Linked DNA regions of Ovis aries. The protein of the gene in region 2 binds, or shares a complex with, the protein of the main gene of each other region. Links are inferred from orthologs where the notes say so. Each region holds a gene or a part of one and is shown on either strand. Other genes may lie near its edges.

The links. The genes of interacting proteins can lie anywhere in the genome.
Region 1: CTNNA1 (region 2) and CDH26 share a complex: the UniProt entries of both Homo sapiens proteins name them as parts of the cadherin:catenin adhesion complex. The link is inferred for Ovis aries from reciprocal best matches to the Homo sapiens genes CTNNA1 and CDH26.

The regions. Positions count from the first base shown.
Region 1 is NC_056066.1:56,278,289-56,282,034, reverse strand, and holds the start of CDH26 (cadherin-like protein 26), read left to right. Parts: upstream 1-1,319; 5' UTR 1,320-1,417; coding exon 1,418-1,504; intron 1,505-3,746. UniProt on the Homo sapiens protein: Cadherins are calcium-dependent cell adhesion proteins. They preferentially interact with themselves in a homophilic manner in connecting cells; cadherins may thus contribute to the sorting of heterogeneous cell types.
Region 2 is NC_056058.1:47,904,745-47,908,390, forward strand, and holds part of CTNNA1 (catenin alpha-1), read left to right. Parts: intron 1-741; coding exon 742-942; intron 943-1,453; coding exon 1,454-1,605; intron 1,606-3,646. UniProt on the Homo sapiens protein: Associates with the cytoplasmic domain of a variety of cadherins. The association of catenins to cadherins produces a complex which is linked to the actin filament network, and which seems to be of primary importance for cadherins cell-adhesion properties.

The sequences.
Region 1 (3,746 bases), on a different chromosome or scaffold from region 2:
GCCAGGCCTCCCTGTCCATCACCAACTCCCGGAGTTTACCCAAACTCATGTCCATCGAGTCGGTGATGCCATCCAACCATGTCACCCTCTGTCGTCCCCTTCTCGTGCCCTCCCTTCTGCCCTCAATCTTTCCCAGCATCAGGGTCTTTCCAAATGAATCAGCCCTTCGCATCAGGTGGCCAATAGATTTACATGGAATAAAAATATCCATCTTGAAAGTAAATGAAGATTTATTTATTCAAAGTTGTAAATTTGATCATTATTATTCTGCTTCTTTAAAAAAATTATTTCTTTATTTTAATTGGAGGATGGATAATTACAATATTGTGATGGGTTCTGCCGTACATCAGTATGAATTGGCCATAGGTATACATGTGTCCTGAACACTCCTCCCACTCTCCTCCCCACTCTATGTACAGGAAATATAGAAAGGTTTAAAAATTGCATTACTTACTCCTTTTAGTAACAAACAACTTGGATTCAGATTATAAACAATTCAAATTAAAAAGTACAGCAACCTGTCACAGAGCCATGAAAATACATTAAGACAAGGTAAATATTATCTTTTATTTCACCTCTTGAAGAACTGTTTAGTGTTTTCAACAAGGTGATGTGATCACAGGTAATACGTTAAGGTAATGGGGACTAATGAGTGTTAGATCTTGTTTTCCACTTGTTCATTGCAGCCTGAAGTATTGGTATGTTAGAACCTCAACTTGTCTTTTTTCCAGAATCCTAATGTAAAGGCCCCAGGTCGGTACAGAGACCCTCCCACAGGGAGCCTCTTTCCCATCCCTCCTCCCTCTTTCTTTCATCTCAGAATCAAAAAGGCAGGTTCATCTAAACGTAAAGGAGATTTTGGTGAAGTCTATGAACCCCAGAACTTCAAGAAATGATTGGGATAAAGATGGTTAATGCTTTGGAAGGTAAAATTATACTTTTCTCTTTTTTTTCGTCTCTTAATAAAGTTATTCTTTTTTGGAGTCCTTTTCCAGTTCTTTGATTTCAAGCAATAGAGCCTATAAGGAAATGAGCATTAAAATACTCTGCTACAAGGAAGAGATCAGTAGGCATTCCACTGATTTTGGAACCAAAAACAAAGAAACCAAACCCCTATTTCCCCATAGATACTGGCTTCACCCTCCTCTGACTGAGCCCTGGTCTCCTGGGGTCAGACGCCTGCTGTGCGTATCGCTGGGGCAGTTTTATTTCCTCCACTCCCTTCCTGAGAATTCTGCCTGTGGTTAATGAGGCCAAAGGCTAAGCCTCAGCCTCCCATCCCACCCCTGATAAATACAAGAATGCTCGGGAGCAGGGACGGGAAGAGTTGAGAGAGTGTCTGTGACAAGGTGACCAGACGGTGATAGGAGAAGAGAGCCTGCTGGGAAGGACGGGCCCACAGCCAGGAGGACTTGCCATGCCCGTGGGCTGTGGGTGCTCACCAGGCGGCATGCGCTGCAGGGTTCACCCCGCGCTGCTGCTGCTCCTCGCGTTCCTGATGCTGGTGAGCAGGGACTGGTACCCACAACGTGGGGTTTACCTGCTGGGGACCGGGAGCTGACCGCACAGCTCCAGCTGGCTCTGCCTGTTCAAGGGTGGGGGAACGGGGCTGAGTGTGATGCCCTGCAGCTGCGGGCGGGGGTGGGGGGGTTGGGAGCTTTAGTACTTTCTTTAGGGAAAGAAGAGGGGTTCCAGAATTAACACCAAGGAGGGATTTGGCAGAGTAGTGGGAACAGGCTAAGACTGGTTTATATAGGATACATACGTTTAGATTTGTATCAATGCGTTTCCTAAGGACATTTCTTTTCACTTTACATAAGACTGAAAAAATCTCAATTGTGTATGTCGAAGAGGGTTTGAGCAAACCCATGGGGGTGGGAGGGCTAAATCCCCCTGCCTCCCCACCCTCTGCCCCTCACCAGTTGCCATGGCTCAACTCGGAAACAAACAGTAGAATCAAGACGGAAATGTCTGGGCTTGTTGCTTGTACTTACCGTGGACAGAGTTTAGGCTGCATCTGCCTGTGGGGCATGGCCGCTCTGCTCAGCCCGCTTTCCTCAGACAGAGAGGGAGAGCCATGGGGCTCTGGCACTGCTCCTGGGTTCTCCCTTATAAACCCGGCCAGGGCAGAGGCAGGAGGCCCTGCAGTGGGTGGGGGTCAGGATGGTGGATCTGCACTGCATCGTAACCTGGCTTGGCACCTGGGCTGTTGCTTGGCCTCGGTCCTCACCTTGGTTCAAGCTTGACTCTTCTCAGATGCTGCGAGAGTCCCAGTGCCCAGAGGCCACTCACCCCTGGATTCAGCAGAGCTGATCTGGGGATGCGGCCTAGGCATCTGGGTTTTCAAGGCTCTACCTTCATCTTGTTAAGCCTCATTGCCTCCATCTGAAAATGGAGCTACTGCAGGCACTTACTTGACCTGGGTGGCTGTGGGAGTCAATGAGGAAATGCAGAGGATCTTTTCTTGCTGTTCTCCGTGCCCTGACAGGATGGTTATTCTCTTCACTCAGTGCCTGGGCTGCTACTGTTGGTGGGCCACTCGTTCCGGGCCAGGTGCTTTCATAAGTGCTGGGTATTACTGTAAACAGAAGAGGAAACAAAAAGTCCCTAGTTGTCTGGCCAGCTCTGCTTCTGAAATTCGATGCCCTGTTCGCCACCCTTTGCTTAATGTTCAGAAATTTTTCTTGGCTACTTTGAAAAAAGTTTTAATTGGAGTATAGTTGCTTTACAGTGTTGCTACTTTCTGCTATATGGCAAAGAGAAAGAGCTAAATGTATACATTTAGGGGGGCATTTCATTCCTGTTCAGGTCACCACTGAGCACTGAGCAGAGTTCTCTGTGCCACCCAGTAAGTTCTCATTAATTATCTATTTTATACATAGTAGGAGAAGGCAGTGGCACCCCACTCCAGTACTCTTGCCTGGAAAATCCCATGGACGGAGGAGCCTGGTGGGCTGCAGTCCATGGGGTCACTAAGAGTCACTAAGGGCACGACTTTCACTTTTCACTTTCATGCATTGGGGAAGGAAATGGCAACCCACTCCCGTGTTCTTGCCTGGAGAGTCCCAGGGACGGGGGAGCCTGGTGGGCTGCCGTCTATGGGGCCGCACAGAGTCGGCCACGACTGAAGCGACGGCAGTAGTAGTAGTGTGTGGATGGCAACCCCAGTCTCCCAGTTCATCCCACCTCACACTCCTCCCCTTGGTGTCCATACATTTGTTCACTGTGTCTCTGTCTCTATCTCTGCTTTGCAAATAGGTTCATCTGTACCATTTTTCTAGATTCCACATACATGCATAATATATGACATTTGTTTTTTTCTTTCTGACCGCTCCTAGTAGAACTCTGTTTTAGTAGCCCACATTAGCCTGGATTTGGATATGTCACAAATCAAACCTTGTTCCCATCTTTCTCTTACTCTTGCTCCTACCCCTAACTGAACTCAAGAGAAAACAGAGCTGTCTGTTTCTCATTTCTGCGTGTTAGCACAGAGCCCAGGCAGGTTAATTCATGACTGAGGGTGTGGTGGGTGGGGTGGGCAGTGGGCAGCAGGGCTGGACTGTGGGTAGCAATTCAGTGTTTGGTGGAAGCAACTATATATAGATTCCGGGGATCAAGGCCAAGGGAGATAATGGGATAAACAAGTGTTCCGTGGTTTTGAGCAATCTGTACTCTGGACCCTCAATTGGAGAAGACCTTTGTGTCCAAGAGGTGCCCAATTTTTTGCTGAATTGGCTATAAGTAAC
Region 2 (3,646 bases):
CCATGCGTTGTGAGCCCTATCATGAGGGCTTTCTGCTGGTGGACTGCACAGTTCCTGGTGGTGAGAACATTCCCTTTCCCATTCTGGGTCAGCCCCTGCAGATCTTCATCCATTTCAGTGGCTGCCCAGTGCCCATAATTTATTACTCTGTTCTGGGACATTTTGGTTGCTCCTACTTTGCTATTATAGATGAGGTTAACGTGAACTCCTCATTCTGGGGTTCCCAATACCCAGGGTCAAGCTTTGTCTTTGAGGAAAAACAGTTCTGGTAGATCTTCCAAATCCAACTCCACGAGGCTTTTGCCTGCCTTCCAGGCTCTTCTCATGTTCCAGAGTTGTCCTGATGTCTTGGTCGTTTGTCTGAATACCACTGGCATCTCCTGGAGCGAGGGGCAAGGGACTGGGAATAGTGAACCTTGTCTTCTAATTTAGACTTTGGGATATAAAATCAATGAAATTGTTTAAGGGAAAGAAATTATCAAGGATTCTGAAAGATGGGCGTCTCTGCCTGTCTCTTCTAAACCTGGAATAAAGATGGTTATTCTTGGGGTGATTGCAGGTCCAGTTTCCAGGCAGTTGATCCCTGGGTAGTCTGGTCTCTTGAGTGAATGATGTGCAAAGCTTTTGGCACTGTAGCTGGCACGCAGTGAGCACTGGATGAGTGACAGATGCCAGCTTAAAATCGTCCACTTCTGGTGGGAGGCCTCCTCCCTCATTCAGCTGTTTTTGTTTGTTCCTCAGAGAATCACATTTTGGAAGACGTGAACAAATGTGTCATTGCTCTCCAAGAGAAAGATGTGGATGGGCTAGACCGCACAGCTGGTGCAATTCGAGGCCGGGCTGCCCGGGTCATTCATGTTGTCACCTCAGAGATGGACAACTATGAACCAGGAGTCTACACAGAGAAGGTGCTGGAAGCAACCAAGCTGCTCTCCAACACAGGTGCGGGACCCCTCCCTCACCTGTGCTCCTCACACACAGATGGCCCTCTGGTTAGGAAGTAGGACACTGGGGCTCAGTTTGGTTTTCGGACAAGAGTTCTGGAAGGTACATCGGATTTATGAGTCATTGGTCAGCCACAGTAAGACCACACAAACACGTTTCCCTTACTTGTGTCCCACAGGTAGTAATGGGAGTCGTTCTGAACTCTGAACTTCTGAGTTATATCTCTAGTTAGTGAACACACTAAATTAAGGAGAGTCCCATTCTAGTAAGGCCTCTAGTTAATCCCAATTCAAATTCTCAGCCATCTAAATCCTGTGTTCCAGAATCTGGCCAGAGACAAAGAAGAGGATTCAAGTCTTTGTAAAATATGGCATTTAATTTATTTGAACTATAAATACCTCTCACATAGGTAGAAGCAGAGGCTCTTCATCATACACTCTGCCTCTCTGCATCTGACTGAGGGATTTAGGAGGGCTGGTGGTGATGTTATCATCTCTCTTCTCCGCAGTCATGCCACGTTTTACTGAGCAAGTGGAAGCGGCTGTGGAAGCCCTCAGCTCAGACCCTGCCCAGCCCATGGATGAAAACGAGTTTATTGATGCCTCCCGCCTGGTGTACGATGGCATCCGGGACATCAGGAAAGCGGTGTTGATGATAAGGGTGAGTAACTGCATTTCAGATGTTTTAACAGCTTCCTTCTTATCATTTGCTAAACTTGAGCAATGCATCATTCTGGAACTCAACAGATGTGTTGGCAATATATTAAAACCATGAATCTAAGGGCTGTTAGGAAGAGATATGTTTAATTACATTGTTTAAAATGACTTTTAGTTGCAAGTTAGAGCCCAAACTTGGGCTGAGAAAAGGGGACCTAGTATGAATTGAGGCTTCCTCTTGAGTTAAAGGGCAGTGATAGAAAATAAAGGCTCCTCAGTGAATTTCAGAGAAGGGAATATTTCCTTTATTCAGGTTGAAACTGTTCTTTACATGGAGCACTCCTCACCTCAGAGGGGTGGCAGGCAGGCAGGGTACTAGAGCCCAAGGGTATTGAGGGGAAGGATGAGGGGCTGTGCAGCCCTTGGTGATGCTCCTGATCTCTAGGGCCAAGTGTCGAGCCCTCTCACCGTGGCTGAAGGGAAGTGCCACCTGCTCTGGGCCCCGTTTGACCCGTCCTCTCTGAGCCAGAGGCAGTTCTCAGCGTCTGAGGCAGTGTCTGGGGTCCCCTGGGCATGAACAGTAGGGTTTTGAGAAACCACCTCCTCCGTGATCATCCCGTGTCTTAGGCTGGGACTCACATAGCAGTTGATGCCTCACACGCTGTTTTGAACATGAATGTGTTGCTCTGGAAGTGGAGAGCAGGACCTGTGCCAAGCTCTCCCGGAGTCACCCCCAGGCTCGGGCCAGCCCTGCCGTAGCCACAGAGCCAGCATTTGGAAGGCAGGCCTGCTGAGTAGACGGCTGCTGGCCTCTGCTGACAGTCTAGTCTTGTCGGGAAGCTTCCGTTACACCTTCATGGTTTGCTAGTCCGACCGCCCAAGGCGGACGGGGTTCTGTCCCCCTTTTTACCCCCTCAGCTGGAAACAGAAGCCATTTCTAAGGTAGTTGCATCAGGCTGGATACATTCTGTATGCAACGTAGCAACATTTGGGCATTACTGCACTTCTCTCAGGGGTAAGGAGCAACAAGAATGGCTCAAGGACTGTATGGCTGGCTGCTGGGTGTTCCTGCAGGCCCGGGTCACCTGCACATACTGGGGGTTGGGAGGGGATCTGGGGGAGCCTGTTGCTTTGTTCACCCCTGCTGCTGTGCTGGAGAGCAGCCCATGCTCAGGGAGGCCTGGCCCCCAGAGGTGCGAAGGGGTCCCTGGGTCAAGCGCACCAGTGATGGCAAAACGCAGCCCTGTTTTTCCAAAGTTCTTTGCATGCGGACAGAGAATAGAAGAAACATTAATAATCATGAGTTGCTGAGTGTCTGAGGTTAATGCCTTTGGGGTTTTAAATGAGCTGGCACTGCACACACCCCAGGATACCTGCACATCCAGGGCCTGTTCTGTGGAAGCAGGGTTCCTCCTCACATCTGAGACTCTCAGCAAGTTCCCGCATCTCTCTAAGATGCAGATGATGGTGTTGGTAGCTTGATGGGATGAACTGGAGGTCAGGTCAGGGCCTGGCATGTAGTAGCTGTTTCTTGTGTGCTTACTGCTGTGTGGGATCGTAAGTACAAGAGGCCCTGGCAGGTGTGGTGAGATGGAACCTGGGTGTGGTCACCTGGGAGGGCTCAGGGAGCAAGGACGGGTAGGTCTGCAGCAGCCTTGGTTTAGTTCCTCCTTTTTGTCTTGATTTAATTCAGGAACCATCCTTCCAACCCAGGGCCTCTTGGTTTCTTGATGCCTTGTAGTTAGCCTCTTTTGCCTGGTCCTTGTCATAACCAGCATCCCCATCATCCCTTCCGTCAGCTGCTCCCTTTGGTTCTGTGACTTCCAACAATGCTTTGAGTCCATCAGGATATTCAGCCGGTTGGTCCTCCCCACTTGCAACCCTCCCTCAGCCTCTTGGGTCCTTGTCTCACTCCTATTCCAGCTTCTGTTTCATCAGTACAATCTATTTTGCACCCTTTTACTCCCCTTATTTGCCTTTCAAAATACAGCCCTAGTGAAATTCTGTCTTCTGCTGAACATGGTGCATAAAAGTACAGTCATCTG